Linked DNA regions of Neodiprion lecontei. The protein of the gene in region 1 purifies or fractionates together with the protein of each later gene. This does not show direct contact. Links are inferred from orthologs where the notes say so. Each region holds a gene or a part of one and is shown on either strand. Other genes may lie near its edges.

Region 1 (11,903 bases):
TGAATCATTGAAGAAGTTCCTCAAAAACATGAATGTACAATGATATTTGAGTTAGCCAAGAGCCAAATTATAATCTCAATGATGTATTGACACGTGTGCAAATCATATGTACAGATTGCTCATTCAATTTTTTCTATAGGAGTTAGAACAATGCATTGGCTGTATGCAGGTGACATCAAATGTAAAGTTGAATAAGCTATGTGGTGACGTTACGGAAGAACGAGGCCCCGATGCCTGTGTTACATGTTTTTGTCGACCTATGTGGTGCATAGACTGTATGGCAAAATGGTAGGTTTTACATAGTCGTTTGCATATAACCAGTGGAATGATTGAGAGCCGGATTAAAAATGAGCAAAATTTGATATTTTTTTTACCACATTCTCAGGTTTGCCTCAAGACAGGATGAGAACTCACCCGAGACTTGGTTGTCTTCAAAATGCACATGCCCAGTTTGTAGAGCGAGGTTCTGTCTCCTGGATGTATGTTTGATACTCGTTTCAAGTAATTGATTTTCATCACATTTTTACATGTAATAAATAGCTAATTGTTGATTCAAAGTTTATTATACATACCACATGATTTGTAAGGTTTTCATTTACTAAAGATGAGAAGATACTCTTTCCAAGTGTTCATAGTAATCACGACGATGTCATAGATGACATATATTTTTTAAACGAAGAATCTAAGTACCTGTATAAATTATTCAAATACCGTGAATAGATGAACCCTGATCGTATTTTCAAATTTAGAATCTTGAAATAACCAAGTCTTTTCCAATTTTTCCTATTTTATATGCTTATATCGAATAGCTCTCACTGCACAGTCAAACTGTAATGTATACAATCTGAATTACGATAAGGAATAGTGAATATTAGAGATGCGTCATGTTTTTATAGCTCAGCAAATCAACGGCCCAACATTTTTTTTTTTAAACTGCACTTAAACGTTGAATACCCCACTCAGAATTCTCAAACAACAAGTTTATCACTTTTATATACTCAGGAATTTCACAAATATTTTTAACGGGCGTTTTGTCAAGCTTAAAATAGCGTATGATACAATGTAAGATTAAGATCTATACGTACATGTACGATATGCATATATGTAAAAATATAATTATTAATAAATACATAATATTTGATAATAGTTTGTTGCAATTCTTTTGGGGCAATATCCGTACAATAGTTGATAGCCTATTGAAATTCAATAAATTTAATGCTGTAATACCTACGTCTTATCGTTATTGTTTATACTTCTTTCTTTGGCCGATTTCTTGCGGTCCATTTCCGAGTCCAGTTTATTTGCTACGTTAACTTCTGGTTGTTCCTGGGATGGAGAACTGAAGGTGTCATTTTTTATTTCAACCCTGTTTTTATTCTTCTGTCTAAATCTCCCAGAGTTTGATACTGATAATCGACGATTGCCGCTGTGCTCATCAATCTGAGCTGTTATCTCTACTTGATTCTTGTTACCAAACAAATCGGTCAAAAACTTTTTGGCTGACATTTTGTTCTTTGTTTCTTTTTTTTGCGGGATCAATCAACTCTGCCGTCAATATCTGTGGTACAAAAAAATGAATAATTTAAATTGTACTTTTACTAGCCAGTTTATTTCTTACATTCAGATCACACAATATTCATTTAAACAAACAATTGCTTTTGAAGAGCAGCTCTATTATTTTTCGAAATTATCCTTCTTGCTTCCGTTGCACAGTAATGTTGAAATTCTCCTTATCTAATCTAATCTAATCTTCTGATAGCGTACATTGGCATATAAAATATATACATTATGTAAAGTTGAGCCAATTGCACTCAAATCAGAACACATAAATTTCTGTTGGGAAATTAAATCATTAATCAAGTTGCAATAACTTACCTGGAGTTTATTTTATCACTGAGAGGCTATTTTCCCTTTGCTAATTTTCCAATATTTGGTACTGATGAAACAATAGCTAATCCCATTCGCTTTTTCAAACAGAAATCAGTGACTGCGTTACTTGATAGCCTTGGAAGAGTTGAAATTTCTTATTGCATGAATAGCTCAACAGGAATTACCAAATTTTTCAATTATTTACGCACCGATTTATTTATTGCTGCAATAGGTGTTTAATCTTGATTCATTTGAATCCATCGAGTAACGTCAAACCGATGTACTTTTATCGCATGCACAAATATAGATAATTTTTCTTTCCAGTGCCTTTTCTTCTTCTGATATGTTCTCATGTCGCTTAGAATGAAATTAACATGTTCCCATACTCAGAAATTCGATTACTAAAACAAGAACAATATTACTGTGCTCCATTCTAGAGCGTGTTGTTTTATTGGACCGAGACAAGCTTCGAAACAGTAGTCACAATTCAATCGGTTATATGATACTGCCGATCTAAGAGCTATTAACAAAAATTGTGTCAATAATCAGCATCTTATCAATCCCGTTGAATTGATTATTTCAATGATAAAGTATTAATATGAGATATCACTTCAGTGAGGTATTGAAAATAACACCGTACCCCATATTGAAGATGAAAATTGTTAAATAACATCACACCAACGATTATCAATAATATTATTTATTCTCAATTTTGATAATTCATAAATAATAATCAGAAAATAACTATTTCGATTTCCATTTTGTCCTTCTCTCTTTCTTTGTTGTGTTAAAAATCACATCCGTACCTAAGTTAGGATGTTCAACAAATAATCTTGGCTACACATATAATCGATGAATTAGCGATTGTAAGAATTTGTTCGATCGATCCAATCAGTATTGATTGTGACGTTCCAGCCTGCAATACAGAGGATAAAAATAAAATAAAATTGGACGTTTAAGAATACGTGTGTCGATAAAAATGAAACACGAATTGTTGTATGATTCGTAAGGCTCGACATCAGAAGTACTGACAAAGTACCGAATGCTTGCCGAATAACCCAGCGACACAGCATCACCTAGAAATCTCCTCTTCAAATGACCATAAGTCGCGGGGCTATATTCATAGCCATTAATTCCTGGAATAGTAGTTTTGCTGCATAGGGCAGTCGGATTTGTGAAATTTGAGTCTTGTTCTTGCACCCTTTGCACTCGAACGTGTTGTTCCTAAGATTCGCAATGGCGATTAGGCCGCAGATATTACAGATATGAATTCTGTACGGGTCCGACACTTCGAAGAGACGCTCTCGAAGGAATTGCGCCGCTCCGTGAGATATTTGACAGTCACGTTCCATCTCCCCGAATCGTAGTCCACCATCCCTGTACGCGTAAATAGTGAAAACAATCGTAGATCATTGAGGAATGAATACCTTTGAAGTTCCGAGGTATTTGCTCAGTTAAAAACCTACCTCGCCCTACCCTCCATAGGCTGTCTGACCAAAATTTGTACGGGCCCTCTGGCTCTGCTGTGAATCTTATCGTCCACCATATGCTTCAAACGCTGATAATAAGTCGGACCAAGGAAGACTTGGGCATTTATTTTACGACCTGTGTGTCCGTTGTACATAACTTCATTACCTCTGAGCTGATATCCGTATTCTTGAAGAAGCGTGGAGATTTTTTGTACGTTCACGGCATCGTTGAAGGGCGTTGCATCGCCGATCTCACCTGCAGAAATTAATTGTTTCAATCTGTTGGAACATGGATACGCGATAGATAAACTATCGATAATTTAATTCCTTTACCTTTATTTGCAGATACTTTTCCCTGGATGCACTCGATCAAGTGACCGATTGTCATACGCGACGGAATGGCGTGAGGATTAATGATGATGTCTGGTGTTAACCCCTCGCACGAAAACGGCATGTCCTCCTGCCTGTACTGAATACCACAAGTACCTTTCTGCCCATGACGAGAAGCGAATTTGTCACCGATCTGTGGGATCCGGACGCTGCGCACTCGAATTTTACAGAACTTGTAGCCCTCGCTGTTCAACGTCAGCATGACTTGATCAACAATTCCAGTTTCACTGTTTCGCAAAAAGGTTGACGCGTCTCTTTTTGTAAATCGTTTTGTCGTACTGTCGAGCTGTGATTAAATAATCAAGCAATGAAACAAAGTCAATTCCGGATGGTTGTATCTGACCTTAATAAGGAATTCGCATACAAACCTCGTCGTCTGTTTCGGGGAGTGTAATAGTCTTGCCAATGACGACGTCGTCGCCAGACACTCGAATTCCCGGCGCAATAATACCATCGTCGTCCAATTTGTCGTAAATCGCGTTTCTCATTCCTTGACACGTTTGTCTTGTCGGTTTCTCAAACTGTTCTTCTTGGTCCCCGATTCTCTTGGACTCGGAGTCTTTGTAAGAACGGTAGAAAACGGACCTGAAGAATCCTCTTTCCACCGCGCTAGCGTTCAGGATAACACTATCCTCCTGATTATATCCCGTGTAGCAGAGAATAGCCACAATACTGTTTATCCCAGCAGGTAGTTCTCTGAACCGTAAATATTCCATCGATCTTGTTGTTACCAAAGGTTTGTGGGGATAGTATAAAACGTGCGCCAAGGTATCCATTCGGACGTGGAAATTCGTAATATAAACGCCCATTGCTTGTTTACCCATAGCGCTCTGAAAAACGGAACAGGACATGAAAACAATTAGTCAGTATTTGCCGAGACAGCAGAAAACTAAAATTTGTCAAAATGATGTTTTATGACTTATTTTTTGATAACTAAAAGACGTGAGTCATTTTTTTGACAAAACAATACCTTACGGACACATAGATATCACTTCTGAGTCGAAAAATTGGTCATAAGACACATTAGAATCGTTTTTTTGATGATTTTCAGTTTTGCACCGGCACTCACTTGATAGGTGTTCCTGGGACTCTGATTGTGATCGGGGAATGGAATGATGGAAGCGCACACCCCGAGAATCATAGCAGGGTGAATTTCACAGTGGGTGTAAGTTGTGCAGTACGCGTACTCCTTCTCTTGTCGGAGATCCTCTGGCGATATTGCGATCATCACGGTCTCCTCTTCTAGCGTATCGATGTACTCAACAACTCCGCTAGCGACCAACACCTGCCACCTACAATGAAGGTGATCACATCGTTGTAATATGAAACGAAAGAGGATGAGAAGTTTCTTCTTGAGAAAAAAAAGACTCACCCGTAGTTGGTATATTCTCTTTCCTTGAGCATGTCAATGTGGCGTTTTTTGAGCAGTAACGTTTGGTTCTCGACGATTAAAAGCGGCCTGCAAATTCGCCCAGCATCTGTGTAAATCCTAATCTCTCGGTCCCTGATGTCTCTGATCATAGATACTTCAGAGACGATAATGTCCATCTGTCTTCTGAGTTTTCTCAACGTGGCCATGAGCTGTTCTGGATCTCTGTGTATTCCAACCCAGCAACCATTGACGAAAATTTTTGTCGCATCAGCAATCGCACTGGGAGCAATTTCCTCAAGATTTTCCATTGACCATTCTTCTAAGAATTCGAGAATCGGCGATGGCTGTGATCCAACGCTGATGTACGCCATCAGAGCCAGATTCTTGACCAAACCTACAGCTGCACCTTCCGGTGTCTCAGCAGGGCACAACATTCCCCATAAAGTATTGTGCAGCTGACGTGGTTTAGCCAGTTTCCCATCTCTGCCAATGGGCGAATTCACTCTCCTCAAATGGGACAAAGTTGAGGCAAAAGTAAGCCTGTTCAACACCTGGGAAACACCGGCTCTTGCTTGGTGAGCCTTTTTCTGATCTCCCCAGTTTCCCGTCGCCAGCGAGTATCTCAAACCATCTGTAATTATCTTAGTCTTGATGGCCAGCTCCAGGTTAAAGTCTTTTCCTCTATCAATAAACTTTTGGGCGTACATTCTCACCTCCTTCATGAGATTCTTGAACAACCCTCTAAACAAAAACGCTAACAGCGGTCCAGCTAGATCCAGTCTTTTGTTTCCGTAGTGATCTCGATCGTCGAGTTCCCTTCTGCCCAACGAGGCTGAGAGCAGCCTGTGTACCATGTATCCCAAGAAATAGGCTTTCTTTGTTTCACAGAAATCACTTATGCCCACGTGGGGCAGCATTTCTTTTTGCAATATCTCCCTTGCGTACTTTATACGCTTCTCCTTTGTCACTCCAGGTCTCGCACCCCTTGTACCAATGAAATTCAGAGCCACGTTCTGTTCTTGTATAACGAACGCTTCATCCAGCGACGGTTTCACCATCTCCATCATTTCTGGATCGTCAAAGTCATATATAATGTGCTCGAGGATGTCACGGTCCGCCACAAACCCCAAAGCTCTGAACACTATCATTATTGGTATTTCTTGTTTTATGTACGGAAGTATAGCTATTATTCTCTGTCCAATAGCCGATTTTTTAATACTCTGTAAAAGATGTCACATGGTTGTTGACACAAGCCGTCCTTACTTCAACGAATGTACTGTGTCATAATAAAAAATAATAAAGAACTCACTGCGCCACTTTTCGCCATCATGTTTACCCACAGAGTTGACGTCGGCCGAGAGCTGTGCTCCAGACAGGATCGAATCTCTGCTTTGTAGGCATACTTTCCATCCTTCATACTAAACACATACACAGTATTTGTGGCCATTTTTTCTTGCGCAATGAGGACCTAAGATCACAGTTCGTCATTATTTAATCTTCAGGGTCTTGATAGTGATCAACAGTTAGAGAATGAGGAGAAATATGTCAGACGCACCTTCTCAGAACCATTTATGATAAAATAACCACCAGGATCTAAAGGGCATTCGTTTAATTCAGTTAAATCACGATCTGTCAGACCAGAAAGCAGACAGTAAGTCGATCTCAACATGATAGGAATCTTTCCAATGAAAGTCTTCTGATGTTGCGTTTCTAAAATTAAATCAAATTTTTGCTATAGTTCATCATTTTGAAGTCACACATAGGTTGGTACATACAATAAATAGGTTGATCGTAGCTGAGCCTTACCTATTGGGTCCTCTCCATCTTTGACAACAGTTTTGGTAATATCGACGTAAAGGGGTGCAGAATAGGTGAGATTTCTTAGTCTAGCTTCATTGGGCATCATGGGTGACGGGGCTCCATCTTTTTCCCAATGTGTCGGTTTGGAGAGATAGATTTGTTCAAATTTGAGCAGGTGTCTAACAGGATTCTCGATTTCTCCAGATGTGTGCTGAGCCTCAGCCTGTAGGTCGATCTGAGGTGAATCCTCAACTATTCTTTGTACAGACATTTGTATAAACTCGTCAAAACTGTCCAGCTGCTGACGCACCAGTCCCTTTTCGTCAAAGTATGTGTTTATCACTATCCAGCAGGCCTCTTGCCACAGTTCTGTTGAGATTTCCTCCACGTCTTCGTCGTCGTACTGATCTAAAGTGATATTAAAATTTATTAGACTATTGGCACGTCTTGAAGATCGGAGAGTTTCGACAGTAGCAAAATAAATAATACTATATGAATAAGAGAAGCAGTTTTGACGTTATTGGGAAAATTCCTAATTGGAGTAAGACTGTGTAAGAGATGGTTTAGTTAGAGTCGAAAATTACTCAAAGAATACAGCAGACTCTAGAAATAATGAGCAAATAAATATAACAATTTTAAGGTTATGTTCTACAGTCGTATTTCATTCTCTCCCATTATTTTTCTCATGTCTTCTTAAATCATAGTAGTGATAATTCGGTGTTACAAATTCACAATCCGCCTAGAAATAAATCACTCACCATCTTCCACTGCGTACATCTTCTAAGTTTGGTGATTATACACTAAATTGACAACAAATACTCCGTACGCTGCAGGTTAATCGAAATTAACACATTACTTTGTAGTTAACACGACACTGCGAGGCATTCAATTAATCCACTGGCCGCCAAACTGCGCCAAGTGCCGCCAACGCATATTAAAAGATGGCGCCATCTAGGAGGGAAAATTGCACTTATTAGACGGTATAAAAAACTGTTATCATTCAACGTGTCTTCGGTCTCTTCGGTGCATACGAAACACCAGTGCCATCTTATTTCAGGTAGCTATTTGCGTTGACTGGTTTGCATGGAGTTCGTGCACCTTGTATAGTCTTCGGTGGTACCAACAATCTCGTGTACAAAATTGAAATTCGACTGCTACCGCGTTGCTAAGTAAATTTGTTACAAATAAGAGAGGAAATGGCGTTGAGTCCGCAAACTAAACAGAAAATATCCATTGTCATCGAAGTGACGAAGGTTGTTTTTCATTGGGGATTTATTCCCGGAGTCCTCTTTTTAGGTTAGTATTCTCTTCGAATGGTTTTCAATTTGCTTTTGTGCTGCTAGATACACACACAGTGAAGGAAAGAGAAATTTTTTGACCAACGTAATCGCTACAATTGAAGTTTTCAATTCAATTATTTCTCCAGGGTTTAAGAAAGGCGCAGATCCTGGAATGCCGCCTCTCTCGGTAATGAAGTAAGTTTCTCTCAAAGAACGTACAAATTGAAATTTGAATTATAAGTAGCATATTCCATTAATAATCCTTGCGTCATTTTTTCAGCCTACTCTGGCAGTAGCACCATTAATTCTCAACTTTACTGAATCATCTGCAAAAATTACTGATGATTATCAATCCACATGTATCACATTGTACCTAAAATGTTAACACAGAAACCAATACAATAGACTGTAAATTCCAATAGAAATAAATGTTTAGTTAACATTCTTTGCAACATTAAATGATACATCGTTAAATAGACCTGCGGAAAAAGTGTTTAAATAGGTTCCACAAATAAAATTACCATGTGCCTCAACGCAGAGAATTCAGCATTCATGCATGCGTGTAATATCTGGTTATTAGGCACCATTAATTATATACATATACATTTTCAGAAAAAAAAGCCACTTAGTTAAATCCGATCATGGAAATCAAAAACAAAGAACACGTTTTTGCGGTTAATTACGGAATTCATTTAATAATACATAATGATAATATTAATTACACAATAAAATGTATATTTTTTCATCAGAAGTGTTATTCATAAATATGTGTAATCAGGTGATCTTTGAATACTGGATCACCATCGTAACATTATCATTTATTTTAGACAATCGAAAGAGATTCCACCCTTGTTTGTTTTGTTCATTCGATTCGATGCCAGTCCTCGAGAGAATTCAGTTCAATTGATTTTGCAAGATCCCTCAAAGTTCAACGTTCCTTAGATTACTCGTGTATCTGTAATATTTGACACGTTACAACAGAAAATCATTTTAACAATTGAGAAAATGAATGATTACAAATTACGTTAACTGTAAAAAAATACTAATTTTAACAAAAGACAGAAGCTGTGTAAAGACCAACCTTTACTTCACATTTCGCGTCACCTCTGAATATGGTGGAGGAGGCTCTGTGTATATTCTATCTTCATTAACCACCTCGAAAGCAGGCTATAACATACAAAAGCCTTTGGTATAATTTCTGTAATTCAAGTTTACTTGCAAACTGAATATAATAATGACCTGTTAGGTAATTTCATTTCTAGAAGAAAAAAATAAGTGAATTAGTAAAAAACGTGCTTACCAAGTTGCTTGTAGACTCGGCATCCTTTGCAAAACACCCATCAATACCTACAAGCTGGAATACAGGATGTCTGACACGGCATAAATATCGGCACATGAACAGCATACTGCAGCATATTAACAGCAGAGCCAAGGCAGCGCAGACTAAAATTCTAATTGGTAGTGTTAAAAAAAAAATGGGCATACAAATGGAGAAAGTTTCAGTTAGACAAGAGACTAGATTTAGAATTTACTTACGTTAAATTGAGGACCACATCATTATTAGTACAGCACATATTGTCTCCGCAGCAGTACTCCCAGGATTGACACGTATTCCATTCACAGTAGTTCGCAGATGTCTGAAGATGAAAATCAACAATGACAATAAAATTATCCACAGTTTGTGTTAGGTAGGCTGAAAAATTGTAATTATAGAATGAGAGAATAAGTAATGCACTACATAGACTTAAATTAACCTCAAAATTATTGTTGACAACCTAAATACAAACTGTAGTCTGTTTTTTACTATAAAACGCTATGTCGGTCGTGAATTAATATTTACCAATTTTATCGACGAAACGAATAGTGTTACTAGAACAATACGTGCGTTTGACAAGAACTCCATTTTCGGTTGTCTGTTTTGCTACTGTCTAACCAGATATACTCCGCCTTACACGTCGAAAGAAGAAATAACAATGAAACCCAGAAAAAAAACCTCAAGACCAATTACGTGCTGCAATAAGATGGTGAAAAGTCTAGACAGCCAGGAAAACTAATACAAGGAATCTACAAAGATGACGATATCAAATGTAAACAGGGATGAGATTGTTGCAACTACGACGACGCGTGTGATCGAATCAGAATTGATTAATAAATTATGACAGTTTTCCACAACTCTAGACGCGAGATCACCCACAAGCGGGCTTGTGCAACATCGACGAGCTCACAGGTGGTTGTCAGTTTGACGTGGCTCGATCTATGTATGTACATGCATACATACGTACATACATATGTACATAATACATATGCCAGCCACCAGCGCGCGATTAAAGCGATTCTTTATTTTTCTTCACACTGCGATCAAGCTTACACTGTGGATCAAGTCCACTGTGTTTTCTCAGGTATTGCAATGACGGTAGTGGGGGGGGGGGGGGGGGGGGGGGGTTCGCTCAAGGGGATGCCCCTACATATTTCACAAGCGAAAAAGGGCTAACCCAATTCTGAACAAAAACACTCCAACGCATTTTTATTTGAGGCAGAAATGAATGCATGAAGTAGCATGAATTCACCTAAATTATTATCGAGATTTCGTAGAATCCGTGCCATTTCTTTATTTCTGCATTAAATAAAAATATACTTGAGTGTGTCCGTTCTGAATTGTCTAATAGAATAACACCGTTATGCCGTTTCGTGTGAGATACGTGGAGATGGAGACTATACAAGGAGCACAAACGTTATGTGTACAAATCAGAGATGAAGAGGGAGATCTGCAACGCTCGGCTTTTCGTGATACCAGCTAAGTTGGAGCGTCGACGTGACACCTAGGCGGCCACGCATCGAAGGTGGCCCATTTCCGACCTGACACCAGGCGGCCATGCACCGAAGGTGGCCCACAATCGTGTATATGTAGATACACTCGGTTGCTCGAGCAAGTGGTTGCCAATCGCATTCTTGTCCTCGCTGGCACAGATGTTTCCAGGAATGCAAGAATTGGGATTTTTTTTGTTTCAGTTATGAAAGTCAGCGAATAAAAGTACAGATCTGAAGCCGCAATTAGTAAGAGAGAACACAGCACGACCGTATCACTCTGTTGCGCGTTCGAAAGAGTAGGGCTGCAGCCGCGAGGGAAAGAAATAACGCATACTGGGAAATATAATTGCATAAGTCCATGTGCTTCCCCCGGCAAGTCTCCGAATAGAGTGAGAGGTCAGACTCCAACTGTTGCTCTCTGTTTCTAATTACGGCTTCAGCTCGGTGCACAGACCGGGCAGTATATTTCTACACATAAGTCCATGTCTCTATTCGTCACTGAGCCTCGATATAATGAGAACGATCGACATGGGCGTTTTAGCTTTACTAGCGGCCAGAAAAAAGGAGATCCTATTCTCACAATGTCCACCAGGGTAGCGCTAGTGACGTTAATGTCAGGTTCATGGCTCTAGTTTGTTAATGTTTGCTCCCCCAATCTCCCCGGCATTCCCGTACTTTCCGCTTCTTAAATTTAAAAAACCTGACATTAGCAACTTTAGCGGCTCTAGTGTAGAAAGATCTTACTACAAATTTTCGACAGTTTCTTGTACATACATTACTATCGTTCTCCTTGGATCTAGACTCCGTACTATTTCTGTTCCGTAGGGGCGGCCATTTTGAAATTTAACAGAAAGCGTGACGTAGCGGCCTCCTGCTCCTTCTCGTTCTCTCTCTTGATTCGAGCCCCAGGCGCAA
Region 2 (8,770 bases), on another chromosome or scaffold:
TCAGAGGGATTAGCTACACAAGTGAGCAGAAATTTGCAGTAGCCTTTGTTGCAATTAACCGTGATGTAGTATGCAGCATTATTTGATACAAATAAAGATTAGTGCAGTTAGCTGGTAAGTGGTTGCTAACCTGAGCTTCAGAGTCATTACGACTCCATATCAGCAAAGTTTATTAGCCAATGGTTTAGTCGCATATCTTTAACCGTTTCTATACATTGAACAATTACAAAATCACATTTTGGCCACTTGCAGAAAATATGTGTAACCATCCATAAACAGAAAAGAACAATGAATTACTTCCACATTTAGGTTGAGTGAAGAACATTAAATTGAATTGAAGTAGGTTAGGTTGAGTCAGAGTTATAGGTTATAATTCTACTCACGAGCTTGGTCTGTGGGATTCATGTATTTTCCACTTTTCGTGGTATTTATCGATCTTCGACCCATATTTGATTATTTTTTAATACACACTTCACAATTAGTGGAACTAGACTTCGTTATATTAACAAACTCTATTACTTTAATCACGATCTTCAGCACAAGTCTGGTGCTCGGTGCTTCATCAGTGCTGCCATATATCTTTGGGTATGTTCCGACATACACTGCGAGCACTGTTCAGTGCTCTTACTGGAGAGAAATTCGTTCCGTTATAAACTGACAGCAGAGAGCTGACAGTCAGTCGCGGTATCCTAGGGAAATATATGATGTCATAAATCGTCTTCATTTTTCTACTGTGAACACTGGTTCTAATTCAGGTAGCCAATTGTAGATGATTGCAGAGTTTGCATCACGCTTGTGTGAATTTCAAAGGTAAATATCAAATATAAAATGAAAATATATTTGAATGAGTACAAATTGAATAGATCTTGAATTATTAGAAATGCGTTAATTAATGTATAGGAATGGGAAATTACAATATTAAACAGGAAACATTCAAGTTACCTTTTCGAGCACAATAGAGATTATGGCCGGTATTCATAGTCAGTGCTTAAGACCGGACTCGAATAAGACGGTCTTATACGAGGCCTTAAGATGGCGTTTGGTTCCATAGACGTCAAACAAGACGGTCTTGAGACGCGGCAAATAAGACGGTCTTCATCAAGTCGGTCTTATTCGAAGCGTGCTTACAAGGTTGCATAGTCCAGTCTTATTTGAAATAAGCATGGTCTTGAGCACGCAACGTTTCATAGTCAATTAACGCAGTCTTATTTACGTATCTTGATCAAGTCGAGTTCGGACTGCACTTAAGCAAATGCTTGTTGCCTAAATATTACTCAATTGTTCTGATGCGTACGAAATTGATAATTACGAATTGTTTGGAAAATATTATATTCGAACAATATAAATTAACAGGAATAGATTGTGAAGGAATGTTTGGGAAAGTGCAGCTGGGACGGGATTATTTACTGTAAAAGGGTAGCAACGGAAACTTGCAATTGAAGTAGAGGTTATGAGAGCATTCGCTTTGAAAAATTTGTGAAGTGAAGTGAATAGTGAAATTCTACTGACATGGCGAATATGCAAGATATGTTTAATTTCTACGATCAGATCGAAGAAATGAATAATATGATTGTTCAATGGTCAACGTTGGGCCGAATGACGAAGACGAGGGTGAAGTACAGCGAGCTCCGAAGAGATACATCAGAGATGGTCAAAACCCGTTCGAGTTTTATTCCGAGCAGGAGTTCAAACGGCGATTCCGATTTTCAAAGGATGGTATTATGTACGGAATACTACCTAGAATTGAAGCTGCCTTAGTCAGTGCCAATAATCGTGGTCTACCAATTCCACCTGTCATGCAATTATTAATATGTCTACGATTTTACGCTACCGCTAGCTTTCAAGTAAGGATCATTGTGATTATAATTCCTGACATTCTACTGAAAATATAAAGTGATTTCATTGCTTCCTGTGATCATGGAATAAATGATTGCTAATACATTTTGTACTGTACAGCTCGTCAACGGAGATCTGATGACTATATCGCAGTCTACAGTATCGAGGATAATACACAGAGTATCGGCTCAAATTGCATCATTGATTCACGCAATTATCAAATTTCCTAGTACGGAAGCTGCTATGATCGCAAACAGAGATCTATTCAGACAACTTGGTGCACGCAGGGAGGGTATCGGTTTACCTGGCGTTGATGGCGCTATCGACTGCACTCACATTCGATTATGTCATACGAAATTTGCAGACCTGCAGGAGGTTTATAGGAATCGTAAGGGATATTTTTCCCTCAATGTACAGGTATGTCGCGTTGGTGATAACCGTTTACAAATACCATAAGTTGCAATTAATTTTATCTAGGATACAAATAAACAATACTATTCTATGAAAATCGGTACTTTTAATTTAAATGATACCACAGGCAGTTATCGGACCCAATATGGAATTCTTGGATGTGGTTCCGGAATGGCCTGGAAGTAACCATGACAGTCAAATATTCCAAAATTCACGAATTTACATGCGGTATCATGAGAGACAACTTACTGGAACCCTGGTTGGAGATGCCGGCTATCCGTGCTTGCCATTTCTGCTGACTCCACTGGCAAATCCAATTACAGATGCTCAACAAAGGTAAGATAAAGATTATCGCATTACTTTAGATTTCGATAAGTAGTCATAAAATTGACAAAGTATACATGTGTGAATTAACCAAGTCGGTATCTTGATAGGTATAACAACGTACAAAGCAGAACAAGGCAAATTGTTGAAAGAACATTTGGAGTTTGGAAGCGACGTTTTCCTTGCCTATCCCGAGGTTTGGGAACCAAATTGTTGTGCTCTACCACAATTGTTGTAGCTTGTGCCGTACTACACAATTTATCACTAACATTGGATAATGCTCTTCCGGAAGATAATCGCATCGAGGAAGAAGAAGCGGATGAATTGCCACCTCAAGCACCGCATTGGCAGCCTGGAGAGGGTTTTGCAATACGCGAAGCTCTAATCGAACGGTTATTCATTTAATCAAAATATATGTATATCAAGTTAATTTAATTGTAAAGACTAATTGATTTTAGAATGAATATACTCCAAATATTTAATAAAATTGAATTTAATCTGTACAAACAGTTAACATTAGAATACATATTTTACTCATAACTTATCATTGGTTCTCATTTTATTTTTAAACCCCTCACTTACTCATGAAAATACTGATATGTACGTAATTGTACTAAGCGTCAGTCTTATAGTTACGATAATACTTATGAAAATTTGTCTACGTAAAAATATTCAATACATTATAAATACAGCCAGTAAATAGAACTAAAGTTGCTCTTTTGAACTTTGAAGATCAAAGGTTGTCCCTTTCACGCGCATTTTTTTGCAAGTCTGCACCGGGATTCCTTTTAACATATCAATACAATTTATTTATCAATAACCGGTATAGAGATTTACATAATGATATAGGTTAAAATATGTGTATATAAAAATTATATACACATAAACATACACTATAAAATTCTTTTTCTTCTTCTTCGTTTTATAGCTATACACCCACTACAAAAAATTGCACGCGATTTGTTCCCGTTTTTTAGTTCCTCTACGTGGCGCTAACGTTGTTGTGTTCATAAACTATAAAAATACTCAAGAGCTGCATGCCTATACGAATATCTTGCACAGGCTGAGAAATAAAATCCGAGCATCTTATTGGGGGATACATCGGAAATATTCCGAACATAACCGAACGTCGAATAAGACCGTCTCAAGCTCAGTCTTCGTCAAGACGGTCTTGAATGAAATAAGCTAGCGCTTGAGACCAAATTCTTGACGAAGACCGTCTTGTTTTCCGACTATGAATACATAGCATCTCAAGACGGTCTTGAACGAATAAGACGATCTTCACCAAGACGGTCTTAAGCACCGCCTTGAGACCTGACTATGAATACGGGCCTATGACTCGTTCGCATCATCTATTTAGAATTCTGCACTGTTGGTAGCATGTAAATAATTACCATTCAGCTTCCCGTTTTCGACCGCAGTGCCGTCTGGATTCCTCCCAGCGCAAAATGATGGTGAAATTTAAGGTACTAAAAACCTGTATCCGAGAACCGGACCGATTTCTAGCACCGTGTCAACACGTTTGAGACACTGCTTTCAAGTGGCACGTGGTTGTCATAATTTATATACAAAATGCGATGTTCGAGTACTGAAAAGAAGACGAAAACCAGCACAACCGTAGTGCAACAGAAAAAATCGGTTGGAGAACATTAAAAATTCATCCCGATAATTCGATATTTTGATTAACAACGTGTTAATAATTGCATGCAAATATGAGATATGCCCAACTGGTTATGGGGCCCGCTGGCTGCGGAAAGGTAAATATGTACGAAGTGTGTATTAGCACTACAGAATGAATCTTCACGGCACTTCACACATGCCGAAAGTTCAAGTGTACCATATTTTTGGCAAAAAATTTCAGTGTCTGAACAATTTTTCGAGGCACGCTCAAATTGAGTGACAAAGGTTAGATAAAGTTTGGCTTCTGTTTAGACATCCACTCTACTCTACTGATGTTTTACCAAATGGCGATGTCTACAATCACAGTCTAGACGGGTTTAACAAACTTTGATCTAACAAACTTTATTCTAACAAAAATTTAACTCATGATCTGAGGTGACAGATTTTTTAAACTTGTTTCACTAACTTTGGCATTGTCTAACCTCAAAGTTAGTGTCAGCTCAGGATAGTTTTTGTGATTCATTCTGATAAAATGGAGAATTAGATTTTCTGAAAAATGATGAGGTATCTCCTGTTGAGGTAAACCTGTTAATCAGCACGCTAGAAAATAGTATGGATAATATGAGGTTTTTAAAAGATTTCCAAAGAGTTTTGATGTTCAGCATTTGATCTCTTAACAATGTTGAAAAGATGGGTGATTTAATCAATACTTCACTATTTATATGATTACTGAACAGTCGATGAATATATAATAATTTGATAAGTTCCAAATATGCACACTTCTTGCAATAAAATTAAAGAAAAGTCATTAAATTTCGAGACACCAACCTCCTTAAGAGTGTGCCCTGTTTGATTTCCGACGTTGATATATATATCTGCAAATATCGAAGCCCACGTATCTCAATCGCAAAAAAGAGCTTAAAGGCTTCATCCTATACGCAATTCTGAACAAAAACCCCCCAACGCATTTCCATTTGACGCAGGAATAAAGAAATGGCACAGATTTTACAAAATCGGAAAAGTAAATTCGTTGAATTCATGCAATTTCTGTATTTCTTCGTCAAATGAAAATGGATTAGAGTGTTTTTGTTCAGAATTGTGTATAGAATGGCACTGTTAAGCCCTTTTTTGCATTAGAGATATGTGGGCTTCAATATTTGGAAATGCATACATCAGCGTCGAAATTAACTAGGACACCCTCTCAAGCAGTCAATGTTATATTTGTTGAATGCATTAGCCAGATATCTGCTACTATTACCAGAAACAAATAAATAACCTAAGTTGTATATTGATGAGTCTGTAATTATGTCTTACAGTCTACATATTGTTCCACTATGGTACAACATGCAACTGATGAAAAGAAGGTTATAGAAGTGGTGAATTTGGACCCAGCAGCTGAGTACTTCGACTATGAGCCTCTGGTAGACATACGAGAATTAATTCACTTAGATGATGCCATGGAGGATCAAGAGTTGAAGTTTGGTCCTAATGGTGGCCTTGTGTTCTGTATGGAGTGAGTGTCTATTTGATTATTTTTCTCATTCAACTTTTTACTTCACGTTTGTAACCCGAAATATTGATTCATTAGATACCTACTTGAGAATTCGAAGTGGCTGGAGGAACAATTAGGTGACGTGGATGAGGACTACATAATTTTCGATTGCCCTGGTCAAATAGAACTGTATACGCATATGACGGTGATACGTCAGCTTGTCGACATGCTGCAGAATATTAATTTCCGAATTTGCGGTGTGTTTTTATTGGACAGTCAGTTTATGGTAGACGGTTCGAAGTTTCTGTCGGGCACAATGGCAGCCCTTAGCGTGATGATTAATTTAGAACTTCCACACATCAACATTCTCACTAAAATGGACTTGCTCTCAAAAGGAGCAAGGAAACAGTTGGATAGATATCTAGAACCAGATCCACATAGCTTGTTGGCTGATATGGAAAAGGGTCACTGGAACCAAAAGTATAGAAATCTCACTGAAGCTCTTGGAAGATTGATCGAGGACTACAGCTTAGTTAGATTTTATCCACTCAATATCAAAGACGAAGAAAATATTGCTGACATAAGGCTGACTATTGATAATATCATCCAATATGGTGAGGAAGCTGATGTCAAAATGAAGGACTTCGACGAGCCAGAGCAAGATGATGGTGATTAACATAAACCATCCAATCCATCATGTAAATAAAACTATTTTTTTCAAATAATAAATTGTCTTTACACGTCAGTACCATGTGTTTCATTCGCTACAACGATGTGTCAAGTGAAGAGCTTCCCTCACGATTTTTGGCTTCTCAAACTGAACACATGTCAGTTGTTGTTTTCTGTAGTCTTGAAGCTTATTTCAGTGCAGTCTACTCTGTCAAAGCAAATGTTCAATACAAACCACTGCATCATTTTACAGGCTGTTTACGACTATAACCTAGTTATGTATACTTGTTTAAAATTATTACCGTCAATTTTAAAGTTGTTTTAGGTATTTTAGAATGGATTTCCATCAACCAAATTGATAGGTATTAAAGTTTATTTTTGTACAAAGATTTTCATGGTACAAGGGCCATAAACATTTGGTATCAATGAATTTTATGATCAACCAACTTTATTCTCGAATGGTGTATTCTATGCTGAGAAATATGTCAGCCTCCTTTGCTGGTACTCGGTTCACTTTTTTGGGACTTCGCTCGTCTGTCCTGTTCGGCTTTTTGTTTTGCAAGAAAAGTTTTAAAAGATTCTGCCTCTTTTCGTTCATCCTCGTCCACTCCTGGATCTCCAGAATTCTCTTCGCCTTCTTCATCATCGCTAGACTCGTTGGCTGGGTGTTTCAGATAGATATCTGCTATCTCACGGCCAACATTAACTGTACTGACCAATGGAACAACATCGCCGGAACCTTCCGCAGCTGCCTTTTTCAATTGTGCTTTCCTTGCTTCTTCCTGTGCTTTTGCATTCTCCACGCGGATTCTCTCCCAATCTTTCTTATAGTCTCTGGAACATTCGTTAAATAGTATAGAAAGTATACAATAAACGAAATACTTATGAAGGTGTAGTTCGTAATTTTAATGGCTAAATTCTCTTTCCTACACATCCATTACGTGAACGTTTCCAATTTCAATCTCATAAATATTTCTCAACAATTTTGATAATCTTATCAATCAGAAGTTGAATGGTACCCGTTGAAATATAAAGTAGGGTAATGTTAGTTTCGTGTTCAGAATATCTTTTAAACGAATTAAGTGAAATATTGGCTTAAATAACGTTGCAAATGAGTGAAATATTACATTATAGCCAAGTTTTAATGCAAAGGATGAATAGTCGAGAATTTTCTCACTTTTCTGTCAAAAGCCGTGAATTTTTGAGAATTTTTAAACATTTCAGTACAAAATTACGTTTCATATTCTTTGGCCGCTTCTTCAATCAGCTTGAAGAAGCGGGGAACTCCATCCCCGGTCAATGCCGAGACACCACAACTGCGCAGGTGACAATAGAATTCGTCAAGTGCTAGTGCCAAACTGCGTGTCAAGTTACTTATGTAGCTAGTCTCTGATTCCAAGGCTTCTTGGAACGATTCAAAATCTTGCATCCAATCCACTGCATAGCTGTGCTCAACAACATCTATCTGTAACCATAAAATCTCAAATGAAATCTACTAATCGAGTGTTGATGAAGTGTACATGCATTGAAAACTGCAAAATTTGTACTAATCAACGATTACTTGAATTATTTGTATTTTTCTCAATTTACCTTATTCATTGCTATAACGAATGGAAGTCTGGTCTTGTAAAGAATAGAACATGCATATAGCATATTCGACATAAAGGTAACTGGGCTGACGCTCCTCACAGTATCCATGACATAGACAATCACAGTTGGAAATTCAGAAGCCAATGCCTCAGTGATGATCGTGCCGCTGGCTGACCAAGTGAAAACCTCTATTTGACCAGGAGTATCCAATATAACAAATTCGTGTTCTTCTCCTGCCTTTTCAATCAGTTTTATCACCTGGTCAAATTTTGTTGAGAATAAATTCAGTGCCGTAACAATACCACCGTTTGGGCCCAACCCATACTGCTTCATGACCTCCTTGTAGTTGACCGTGTCTCTAATGTCTGAAAAAATGGTTGACTTATCGAGCAACTATTGAACATCTTAAGACGGCCGCAGACACATAATGATGGTCGCCGATCCATCCCCTATCTTGCTTCATACAACCCTAACGGCTCATGAGAACCAACTCTATCACATATGGCGAGTGTTCGTAGTGATTATTATTAATATTATTATTATATTATTCTTGTCCCGAATTGTTGCATTTATCTTTATTAAAAAGTTTATTGAGGAGATATATACAAGTAGATGGCTAGAATTTTGGGAATTTATATCTCAACAACCAATTATGCAATTTGATTAAGATTCGTTTCATTCAAATGTCTGCAGATTAAGTTCCATCAACGTTTTCTCTATTAAAATCAGACAATAGGAAAGATTGTTATTCACATTAGGATAAACCGTTTTGCTCAGTGACACGTTTTTCAGTGCCCATGATGTCGCAGAAACAGCTCGACTGATTTG

Evidence for each region. Proteins that work in one complex are often made in the same cells at the same time.
Region 2: the proteins of DNA-directed RNA polymerase II subunit RPB2 (region 1) and GPN-loop GTPase 3 purify together in Homo sapiens (co-immunoprecipitation; 3 studies listed by BioGRID and IntAct, counting the BioPlex papers as one, with this or other methods). This does not show direct contact. The link is inferred for Neodiprion lecontei from reciprocal best matches to the Homo sapiens genes POLR2B and GPN3.

What each region holds. Positions count from the first base shown.
Region 1 is NC_060263.1:16,081,815-16,093,717, forward strand, and holds DNA-directed RNA polymerase II subunit RPB2, read right to left. Parts: upstream 7,818-11,903; 5' UTR 7,678-7,817; coding exon 7,659-7,677; intron 7,309-7,658; coding exon 6,907-7,308; intron 6,811-6,906; coding exon 6,656-6,810; intron 6,569-6,655; coding exon 6,410-6,568; intron 6,321-6,409; coding exon 5,101-6,320; intron 5,021-5,100; coding exon 4,798-5,020; intron 4,559-4,797; coding exon 4,097-4,558; intron 4,015-4,096; coding exon 3,672-4,014; intron 3,595-3,671; coding exon 3,336-3,594; intron 3,247-3,335; coding exon 2,961-3,246; 3' UTR 2,554-2,960; downstream 1-2,553. Other genes in the region: E3 ubiquitin-protein ligase TM129, read left to right, coding at 140-288, 386-509; uncharacterized protein LOC107220317, read right to left, coding at 9,264-9,347, 9,481-9,631, 9,717-9,817, 10,021-10,083. UniProt on the Homo sapiens protein: Catalytic core component of RNA polymerase II (Pol II), a DNA-dependent RNA polymerase which synthesizes mRNA precursors and many functional non-coding RNAs using the four ribonucleoside triphosphates as substrates.
Region 2 is NC_060262.1:18,446,284-18,455,053, reverse strand, and holds GPN-loop GTPase 3, read left to right. Parts: upstream 1-4,043; 5' UTR 4,044-4,283; coding exon 4,284-4,328; intron 4,329-5,507; coding exon 5,508-5,704; intron 5,705-5,779; coding exon 5,780-6,359; 3' UTR 6,360-6,428; downstream 6,429-8,770. Other genes in the region: WW domain-binding protein 11, read right to left, coding at 384-447; putative nuclease HARBI1, read left to right, coding at 1,578-1,844, 1,957-2,253, 2,375-2,583, 2,682-2,976; GPN-loop GTPase 1, read right to left, coding at 6,838-7,186, 7,588-7,817, 7,943-8,307. UniProt on the Homo sapiens protein: Small GTPase required for proper localization of RNA polymerase II (RNAPII). May act at an RNAP assembly step prior to nuclear import.